3 linked regions of the Coturnix japonica genome follow. The protein of the gene in region 2 purifies or fractionates together with the protein of the main gene of each other region. This does not show direct contact. Links are inferred from orthologs where the notes say so. Each region holds a gene or a part of one and is shown on either strand. Other genes may lie near its edges. The genes, in order: PLXNB1, MET and GAB1.

What was found.
Region 1: the proteins of MET (region 2) and PLXNB1 purify together in Homo sapiens (co-immunoprecipitation; 3 studies listed by IntAct). This does not show direct contact. The link is inferred for Coturnix japonica from reciprocal best matches to the Homo sapiens genes MET and PLXNB1.
Region 3: the proteins of MET (region 2) and GAB1 purify together in Homo sapiens (affinity purification with western blotting; 3 studies listed by BioGRID and IntAct, with this or other methods). This does not show direct contact. The link is inferred for Coturnix japonica from reciprocal best matches to the Homo sapiens genes MET and GAB1.

Annotation. Positions count from the first base shown.
Region 1 is NC_029527.1:8,846,211-8,849,866, reverse strand, and holds part of PLXNB1 (plexin-B1), read right to left. Parts: intron 1,547-3,656; coding exon 1,438-1,546; intron 1,345-1,437; coding exon 1,236-1,344; intron 1,096-1,235; coding exon 238-1,095; intron 1-237. UniProt on the Homo sapiens protein: Receptor for SEMA4D. Plays a role in GABAergic synapse development. Mediates SEMA4A- and SEMA4D-dependent inhibitory synapse development. Plays a role in RHOA activation and subsequent changes of the actin cytoskeleton.
Region 2 is NC_029516.1:22,355,110-22,358,765, forward strand, and holds the end of MET (hepatocyte growth factor receptor), read right to left. Parts: intron 2,948-3,656; coding exon 2,811-2,947; intron 2,646-2,810; coding exon 2,435-2,645; 3' UTR 253-2,434; downstream 1-252. UniProt on the Homo sapiens protein: Receptor tyrosine kinase that transduces signals from the extracellular matrix into the cytoplasm by binding to hepatocyte growth factor/HGF ligand. Regulates many physiological processes including proliferation, scattering, morphogenesis and survival.
Region 3 is NC_029519.1:26,863,872-26,867,023, reverse strand, and holds the end of GAB1 (GRB2-associated-binding protein 1), read right to left. Parts: intron 2,798-3,152; coding exon 2,675-2,797; intron 2,426-2,674; coding exon 2,267-2,425; 3' UTR 521-2,266; downstream 1-520. UniProt on the Homo sapiens protein: Adapter protein that plays a role in intracellular signaling cascades triggered by activated receptor-type kinases. Plays a role in FGFR1 signaling. Probably involved in signaling by the epidermal growth factor receptor (EGFR) and the insulin receptor (INSR).

The sequences.
Region 1 (3,656 bases), on a different chromosome or scaffold from region 2:
AGCAGAGAGCTGTGAATAGTCTGGACATCACAGCAGCTGTCACTTTCAGATCAGCAGCATTTCTACAAGACCCGGGAGCTTCAGATTGCCCCTTCTCCTCCCACACATTCCGGTGGTCACCTACTGTTTCAGAGAGCACAGCTTCTTCTATGTGCTGAAACATCAGACCAGCAAATCAAATGAAAACTTCAAATAATTACAGCCTTAAGCTGCAGATTCTGAAGTTGAGCAGCTTACCTCCCAGAATCCAGGGGCATCATACTGATAGTCAAGGTCAGGGTGGAGGATCCTGGGCAAGTCAGGGACGTCCCTCTCTGAAGAATCACCATCACCCGATAAAAGAGTAGAAGCGGAGAAGGGAGATGTGTCGTTTTCAGCCTGCAGCAAATCCATCCAGTCCTCTGTGTCCTGGAGCTCTGCGTCCTCCCCCAGCACTGAGTCTTGGGAAGCTGACGGTGGGGGCTCTGATGCAGGTATTTCAGTTCCCAGCATGGCAGGAGAGTCATTAGAGGCAGAAGGGTCCTCTGGCATCTGACCAGGGGTTTGGGGAGATGGGATGGCAGATGTCAGGGCCTCTGCGGTAGGAAAAGAACTCAAAGGCAATCTTAAACTGGTGACATGTGGGGAAGGTGTCACTGCCGGCGAAGATGTGAACAGAGGAGTAGCTGCTACAGTGGTAGGTGGCTCAGTGTGCCACGGCTCATGGGCAGCAGACGGCCCTATGGTTGGTAAGGCTGCACGATCCATGTTTTTGCCTGGGCTGGTGAGAATAGATGCAGCAGGAGAAGCTGTGCCTGGCAGAGTGACAGCAGGTTTGTCTGCTGGTGGTGGCAGGGGGTGTTCTGTAACAGCCTGGAGAGACGCTGCTTCAGCTGAAAGCGTTGAGTACGGGTTGCTGATGATTTCTGTAGGCTCAGTCATTGAATCGGACGCAGCAGAGAACGTGATGTGGTTGGGCTCTGTGGGGGGCACAGTGTTTGATACTGCATGCACAGGGGGAGTGATGGGTTTTATGGTCACCACTGGGGCTACGGTAGAGGACTTAGTGAGGGGAGCTGCTGACGAAAGGAACACACTTGAAGTTGGGATCTGGGCCTAAAGAAAAACAACATGGCAGGGTAAGAGAAAAGAAATAACACAGAATAAAACTCGGGGACAAAACCACTCCGTATCACCCCCATAGCTATGTTCACAACAGGCTGCTTCACCACCGAGGGACTGAGTAGGAGACGCACCCTTTCATTGTAGATAATGGTTCCTTCTTCACAGGCTGCTTTGTGGGTGCAGAGGTGCTGCTGGACGCACCAGTTGCATCCCCAGGGACTGCTCACACACTTCTGGCACCTGGAACAGTGATAGAAAAGTAGTTCCTATGCTGATCCAGGACAGGGCAGCCACCCTCCCTAGAACTACAGACAAGAAAAAGCAGGTGCTCACGGTGCTGATTTCCATAGCAGGGCCACTGCAGCACAATCATAGAAAGAGAAGTCCACAGAAGCAATGAAGATGTCATGGAAACGCACTACAAGCTTTATGGTGACATGATCTGAAAGTGAAAATAAAAATCTCTTAGAAATGATGCCATTTCTGCCATACTGTTAGAAGACACAGCACATGCTCTATGGAAGACACCTGTCAAAACTGGAGACAGATTCCCTTCCATGCTGCTAGCATCTCCATCACTAGATTATCCTATGCACACTAAAAACAAGTTGGACAAGTTTATCGGGGTAGTTTACGACAGCTCTTGCCAACCCAGAGGAAGGAAGATGTCTGAAGATTGCTCCATCTAGATTTGCTGTAATCCCACTGTCGCCTCTGTATTACAGGAAGAGGTGACATTCCAGGCTCAAAGATGACTGTTGTCATTTGTGATCCAAGGGAAAACCCAACCCTTAGAACCAACATGTGCTTCACACGCAGATATCGCCTCAAGTTCTTTGTTTTTATGTCCAGACTGAGAGGCATGACCATTGCTTCACAACAGATCAAATAACTGCAGGAATGGTCATAGCTAACTCTATCTGATAGCATGAACCTGAGGGAGACGTTTCACATATGGCAGTACTAAGAATGCCAGTTAACCTCATTTCAAACAAATGCCCTCAACCTTAGAACTGAGCGTTAGATCTCTAACTAATGGGAATATATTGCGTGCTCTGCTGAACTCCAGGAGCCGCCATTTGTCCGCAACAATGTGCTACAAAAACTAGTAACAAGGAGGCTGTTCGTCCTTCCTCTAAGAGAGTTCAGTCTTACTTTGGCATGCAAAAATCTGCTCATTTGCAATAGTCTGGAAGGCAACAAAGAAACTATCCAGTCTGACAGAGGGTCCCTCAGGCTTGAACTGGATTCCTGACAGGATGACAAGAGAGAAATGATGCTGGTAAAACAGGTGATGAGGTGTCTATGAAAAACCAGGATTAAGAACAAAGATGGCATCGCATGCTGCTGAAGGCAGGAGTCGCTGCAATGCTGCCAGCTCCTATCGCTGTTATGAAGGTGACGGCATCTGGCTGTGGTGGAAGGGCCAATCCTCACAGGGTTTCAGGACTATGACACCATAGTTATAAATACCCTTTTCTCCAAAAAGCCAATTACTTCCTGTGACTGTAATGGTGCTGTTCAGCAGCACAGAGGACAAGGTTGAGCACTTGCAAATTAAGAGCAAGAGATCTTGCTACCAATGTGGAACTCATCAGCTTGAAGTGACAGATGAGCTATAATGCAACCTTTGAAGTAAAGCTGAAAAGAGGAAAATATTTTAGCAAGCTGGGAAAAGCTTTTTAAGTAGGAATAGGAAAATACGTCTAATGACATCTCATTTAGATTATTGTATAGTTCTCATTACCGACTTCAAATTAATCTTAGCAGAGCATAAAAATAGCACAAAGAAGGGCTACAAACGCAGTGAAGGAGAGAGAAAACCTACATAACAGCAAATATGAAGAGAAGGCTGGCACAGTTAACACAGCAAAACACTTCTAAGAGCATTTGGCAACAGTTCATTGACTGGAAGAATTACTACAGAAGCAGAAGGACAACACAGATGAGATTCCTGGATGGTTCTTGTCTGATAAGCTCAGGTTAGAAAATAGAAGCAGGTTGCTTCAGCAAAGCAAGATGAAAATAATACAGGTAAAACACTTCATTACTGAAATAAAAGCAAGATTGCTTACAAATGAGTTGCTAAAAGAATCTGAAGTGTAGAAGAGTGAAAACTAGACTGTGAGTGACCTTTACAGTTTAAATACAGGTCAGTGTTTGCTATCTAAATGGAAAAGCCAATCCTGTTCACTTTGCCTGCTGTAATAGGGCACGAAGCCTCCCTCTCTTTGACTGAAAAGGAGACCTGGTTGATTTACTCCAAGCATCATGCAAGCCAAAAATCAAGTTGTCTGAGACCAAAGACCAGAGCTAGCTTGGTTCTGCTGTCATGTTATGTCCATGGAGACCATTTCAGACCCATTAGACAGCTGTATACGTATATGGCAAAATCTCCTCAGCTATTCAGGTGATTTGTGTGGAATTCTTCCCTCATCACCTGCCGTGCTTCCTTCAGCTGAACAAGTTCTCTGAAGAGAGCAGCTCATCATTGCTCACACCAGCAGGCTGGGCAACATCCAACACACAGGCCATAGAACCTCCTATGTGCT
Region 2 (3,656 bases):
GGCTGTGCCAAAATTGTTTGCTACAGAGCATTCACACTTTTCTTTGAAGCAGACAGTACCACAGCGATGGACTATGAGCTTGATTTATTGGAGCACTCTCCATGCATTTATGTCTCTGAGTTTTCCTCTCTTTTGCTCTCTTGCACGCAGTTCCATTGGTTGCTCTGCCAGCCTCAGTCAGGAAAAACATGCAGACTTTTACCAGCTTAATATTCTAAGGTTAACAGTAATAACAGCACTCAGGGCAGAAAGTATTACAATAGTTCATTTTAGTAACATGTTTATTAGATCATAACAACAACTATAAACATAAGTACCGTTCAGCTCTTCTGCCGATATATGAACTTACTAACATCAATTTTTACCAGAATCACATATTCCTACAGGTGTCCCAGACACAACATTAACTTTATTAAGCAAAAGTTCATAAATAGTAAAAATGTCATCTGTTTCACATTGCAGCGTTCCTCAAGCAGGTATGTACAAGTTTGGAGTATCTTCTCCAAATCTAAATTTCCTTAGCTGTTTTAACAACCATAGAGATGATTTTTCTGCCTGCAGCAAAGCCTTTTGTCCTTGAGCAATCTACAATTAGTATTGCTCTCAGCAGACATGAAAGTTTGTTTCTGAAATGAAAGTGGTGATGAAACACAGTACAATATTATCTGCTCATAGTTTGCCTACACACTCTGCCCTCATTATAAATCTTTCATTTATAACGCCGTCTCCCAAGAACAACATAACCTCTCTTATATCAGTTCCTTACCCACACTGCCTCTCTTTGAAGATCTTAAAATGGTTGGCTTGCAGCAATGGAGATATTACACTTAAGGTAGGGTGGAGTGTGTTTGCAGTCAGTTCTTTTCCTTTCTAGTATTTACACAGTATTCTTTTTAAGGTTGCTACTATTTATGAATCATGTTTGCTGACATACATTTTCTGAAATGTTCACAGTGCAGTATTTTGTGGACTAACCAAACTTTGTAAATGTCATTAAAAATAAACTTTTGTTGTTTTTTTTTGTTTTATAATATATAAAAATAGAATACTTTATGTGTTTACACCAACAAACCCAGTTCTATTCTATTCTACACAAGCTATACAGTAGTATGCACAGAATTCCACAGGAACAGAAATGACATGTGATGCTTGCCCTAAAGCTATAGTACTTCGCTCTACTGAATGAAACTTTATTCATTCTCTCTTCCCATTTCTTTTTCTGGGCATAATTGAGAAATAAAAATAGATATCATAATTCACTGGGTTGTGTGATTCAAGAAAAGATAAGGGACCATAAAGGTGTTGTTTCTTCTTTTCATCAGTCTTCTGAGCTCCTTAGGGCTGCTGTGACAAAGTGATTAACATTTATGCTATGACATTCTCTTAGGTCAGGGCTGGCTGCAACACCTCCGCTTTTTACTCACCTTTGGCAGCAGCTCCACCCAAGGATGGGTGGCACACCTTCAGCTGCTCACTGTGTGACTCATCAGACAGCAGCTCTATGTAGTTGCCAGTCTGCCTGTCTCCTCTTCCTCTCCAGAATAATGCAGCCCATGTTACTAACTCCCAGGGATTAACCTGTCATCTAATATGGGCGCCTCCAGGTTTTCTGTCTGTGAGAGCAGTTGCTTCTTGACTGAAAGTGTTGGGGCTACGCATTTGTTTCAGTGAGATATCTGTAGATTTAGGCTGTTACTCAAAGAAATATTCAAATGTTGGAATAGAGTTAACACTAGGAATGCTTTAAGCTAGATGCTTTTCTGTTCACTTTATGTACCGTCTGACTATGCCAGAGGCCTGGCAAGGCTGACATACTTATTTTACTATGCACTTATTTTACTGTGATGTTGACTTCTGCTGTTGACTTTTACCATGAAGCTGGCGCTACTGGCTGCCTGTCTTCTGAGAAACCTCATTGACATAGTGCAAAAATCCAGAGTTTGGACTGTGAGGCAGGAAAATGCATTTTTAAACTCTTGTACATTTCATGGTTTGTCTTTGCCTTTTATGTAAGAACCATTTTGTACTGCTCATTATCCTAAAGTACATGCAACAATAATAGTCCTTCCAGCTTTTCTGATTGGTATTCTATGTTCTCCTTCATGGCATTAATGATGAATCTTTGTTCTTGGGTCTCAGCACACATGAATGAGAACGAGCAAGAAGTAGATCTGGTTGGTAGAACACAATGTCTCCATTTGGTGAACTGATGCAGTTGTCCAAATACCTGGAAAATTACTGTGATGGTTTACAGAATCCCACAGCCTTGAAAAAAGATGATATCGTGTCCTTCTACTAGTGCAACTTGGGCAACAACATAAACATGTGCAACAGTGTTCTCACAAAGACCAGGCAGTAAAAACTAGTGGACAAAATGTTTCAGTTTTTGTTCATACCACTAAGAATGGATTTTCCTCTGTTTCAGACATACTTGTCATGTGTCTACATCCATGTCTGTATTGTCTTGTGATGATAGTAGAGAAGGATAGGGAGCAACACACTTGACGTTGACATAAGTAGCGTTAACGTGAACGTAGTGTTCCCCAACAAAAGTGGAGAAGATTGTTGATATTTTTGAAACAAGTTCAGAAAATGCTGGACGCATCTCAGGTTTTGGATGCCAACATTTCAGCATGACTTCATACCTGCCATCCAAATTAAAGAAGTGTTCAATTATGAAATTATCAAAAAAAAAAAAAAAAACAAAACACAAACCTCCCTCTCCTCCCCCCCACCTCTTCTACCCCACAGTCTCAAGAAGTTACTGCAATATCAGCAGTTGCAGAAGGTTTTGCAAACTATTTACTCACAGTGGGTCAGGGCAGTATTCAGGTTGTAGCAGCCTTCTTCCTTGTAACAAGTAAACAGTTATATCAAAAGAATTTACGTCGGGATAAGGTGGTGCCCCTCTTGTCATAAGTTCCCATAACAACACACCGAAGGACCACTAAGAAAACAAAGAAATAAATAACAAGTGATAGGGTTGGAGAGCTTTACGTTCCAGTTTTAGAACATGGTTTGACTGATGTAAGCATTCAAATGCATTAGTTTTCCCTTTGAAAAGTTATTTTACTGCATTCAGCTTTATTTTAAGTGGGCTAATAAATGCTGTAGGGACTTGAGGAGCCACTTAAGTTAGAGCCAGAGAAACTCAAGTAAATAAATGAAAGAAAATAAAAGCCTATAGGCTTGCTACTTAGCTGGTAAAAACTGGCAGACATCCTTTGAGGTTAATGGAGTGCTGCCAATTTACACGATCTGATGATCTGACTGACTTTGTGTAAATATGTACTGAAGAGAATGTGGTGAAAATTCTATGCATCACAGGCTAATTTGGATCTAGAGTGAAAAGAGAGCTAAAATACAAGGCGATCCAGCCAACTAATGACTTCACCCTATAATTTGTTCTTTGTAAATGGCCAGGTAGTACTTGAGATTGCTGTAGGCAGATGGTAAGCATTTATAGAGCAAATAAAGTCTTTTTGTGACCCACTGCATTTTATGAGTATCAAAGTTAACCTGCTTGGTCAAGCTTTCTAGAGTCCCTCCTATAGCAGGGATCCGCTCCAACTTGACTCCTTAGTATACCTTGAAGAGGAATTAAACTCCAAATTCTGTTCTGAGTCCTAATTTTTTACTGAGTAGTAACAGACAGT
Region 3 (3,152 bases), on a different chromosome or scaffold from region 2:
AACCATGGCTGATAAACCAGAGCAGTGATTGTCTCATTACTTCCATTAGCACATTCAGAGGCAACTTGGTGGAAGTGCACTGCTATGATTGTACCAATTAAATGTTTAAAACCAGCATCCTAAACCAAAGTTACCTTTACATTAAATGTCCCTGTTCCAAATACTCAACATATCTGTGAGTGCATCAGCCACTGCAGCAGTGAGGAACAGTATAATATGTAATAATAATACCTTCAAATCAAAGCGAAGTTGAGTTTTACCTCCAAAGTCCTTTAGGATTTGCAATGCTTCAATTAACCTCTCAAGGTCTCCTTGGCTCACATCACTTCTCCCAGCTCCCAGGAGGCTGGGAGTCAGGTTAATTTTAGTTGCTTGTTTAAAAACAGAGATTTGTTCTGAAAATTAATCCAACCCTTTGTTTGTTTGTTTTGACAGCACAATTGCAGAAAAAAAGCAGTTGCAATCATCTAGGCACTTTTACAAAGGTATTAATGCCTCTTGCTGTTTAACAGGACAAAGCTTACACATCGAAACTCAACAACTCGATTTATTTAAAATTCACCTCAAAATCCATTGTTTAGTTGTTTTTGTGTTTTTTTTTAATGAACATTAAAAGCATCAAAATATTACTAATTTTAAAAGAACCTTCGTTAAAAATAACATAATTTACATATGGTAGATTGTGGTTGTGAGGGGAGAGAACCAACAAATGGTAGATTAGGCACAGTACTAAGGCCAACATGCCAGAAAACAAAAGAGCTGTATACTCAAAATTTAAAGTGACACAGACAAAACAAAACAATGGGGTGAGAAAACAAAACCAACAGCTTACTTAAGGGCGGTTGCGTAGAGAAAAAAAAAAAAAGGGGTTAGTAAGTTTTCTACCTAGATCTATCCTGTTCATGTATCTATTTTCTTCCATATATAAAAAAAATTGTTTCTAAATCAAGGCAGATTATTATTTGGAACTGTCGTAGTAAAATAAGGGATCACAGTATACAGAGCTTAAAATCCTGTACCAGGAAAGAGGAACGAGTGGTTTACAAGGGGATCATTTAAGTACATTATCTAATTTTTAAAACAGAGATATAAAATATCATTTGCATAGGGATTTAAATATAAGGCCAAGCAGGAGATTAAAAGTAAAATAAAGATTGTAAGAAGGGCACTACGGTGTCAAAACATAGTATTTCCATTTGAATTAATGTCTAATTCAAAATCACAGTATTTTGCTAGTACTATAAACAGTGAACGTCAAACTGTCCCATTCATCTTGAACTGAAAACCGACATTAGAACTTCTAAACAGTACAAAACTAAAGCTCATTGTCTAAACCTGATCAGTGTATTAGCACAGTAGTGCTTGGTACGTACCTGATTTATATACTCTACCTTCTGTAAATAATATAAAGGTTATTTTTTGTTAATAAGTGTGAGATCACAATATTACTGCATGCCATCAGTGGTTTGCAGGCTTACGTGATATTTAATTACTCAGTCTTAAAAAGTGTGAGATCCCACCCTGCAGAATCTTCACCTATCAAACACAGAACACTGTCATTAATAAAATACAATAGAAGTTCCACCACTAACAACTAACATATTAGCCAGTATTGCAGGTCTAAACCCAGTATAGTTCATTATTATTAAATCACAGCAATTTTTGTTAGGAAGGTAACCTGTAGATTTCCAAATAATCTTTTGCATGTATTAAATATAAACAAGTACGTAACTAACGGTTACCTCTTGACATTTCAAGTAAATTATTCAATTGTGAAAGTATTTCTGCAAAAAATCAATTTTAAGTTGTTAAAATGAAGTTCAAATATTAATTTCCATATCTACATGTAGCTTAGTTAACCTAGAATTGTAAGGAATAGTAGTGTAAGGAAAAAAAACTCTCCAAATGAATTAGGCATCAAGGTACACTAACTGGGAATACCTGAACCAACATTGTAACTGAAAAAGTGCATAAACATAGTAATACACTACAAATGTGTTAACTACAGAACGAAAGGTTTTCTGAAAGCAAAGTGGTACTATTTTACACGTTATTTACAGGTTGCAAATTTTCCAGAGACCACATAGCCAATTTATGATCTTAAACTCCATTGATGCTTATGAAGTGTCCTTTGGCTTCCATCCTATTCAGTCAAAAACCTGTTCACACACTGGTGAATACCATACAGTCAAGCAACAGTGCCACGATGGTTTGTCAGATCTTCGAAATTCATTCCTTTCTGTTCCTTGAAGAATAAGCAGAGTTTTCACTTCACACTTTTTGTGGGTGTTTCTGATTCTGTAGACTGCCGCCCATCAGTCCATGCCTCTCTTGTGCTCTTCAGTGCAAGTGTTTTCTGCTGGTCAACTACAACATAATCAACTCTTTCATCTGCCACACTGCTGCCTGAACCGCTGCTCTTTTTCTGGATAAAGACAAGACAGAATGAACAAGCAAGTTAAACTAATAATTTCTTTACTAGAAAATTAAGTACATATACCGAACAGATTCAAAACAAGCACAGGTTTATCTGAAGAGTCTGAAAGAGCCCCTCTGATTGACCTTTGGATAAACTAAATGGGGCGATCTTGCTGGAGGCTCTTTCCCAGCAGCTACTTGTAAAGAAATTCCAAGCTGTTAATGCCAGTCATTTGAAAAGTCAGGACTTGCTTACCTTACGAGGTGGGGTAGATTTTCCCGAATCTAGGTCCAGATCTAAATATTCTACTTGCTTATCTCCTTTAGGTTTTACCATGGGGCTGCTTCCTCCATCAAGACTGTTGCTACCAAACAGATTCTGAAATTGTAACATAGAGAACTTCAGCTGCAAACGTACATGCTAACAATCCAAATTATCAAATATGCTTATTATAACCTGTCAAAACATTGAAGGTTAAAGAACTGAGTTTTTACACCCAGTTAAACCATGCAAGTTTTGTTGATGTTATATAGATACAGTTAAATTAAACAGAAACAGAACAACGTTAAGCCTGGGACAAAATCAAAAGCCAAAGGGAATGGACGGAAGGAAACCAAAAACCACCCCCCATAATTAAGATTGTCATCAAATCAATCTGTACCTTCCACCTAATACCCCTTTCATATCATGAGGTAATAAGGGAGTTGTTTTGGTGTTACACGTCTCAAGTTTA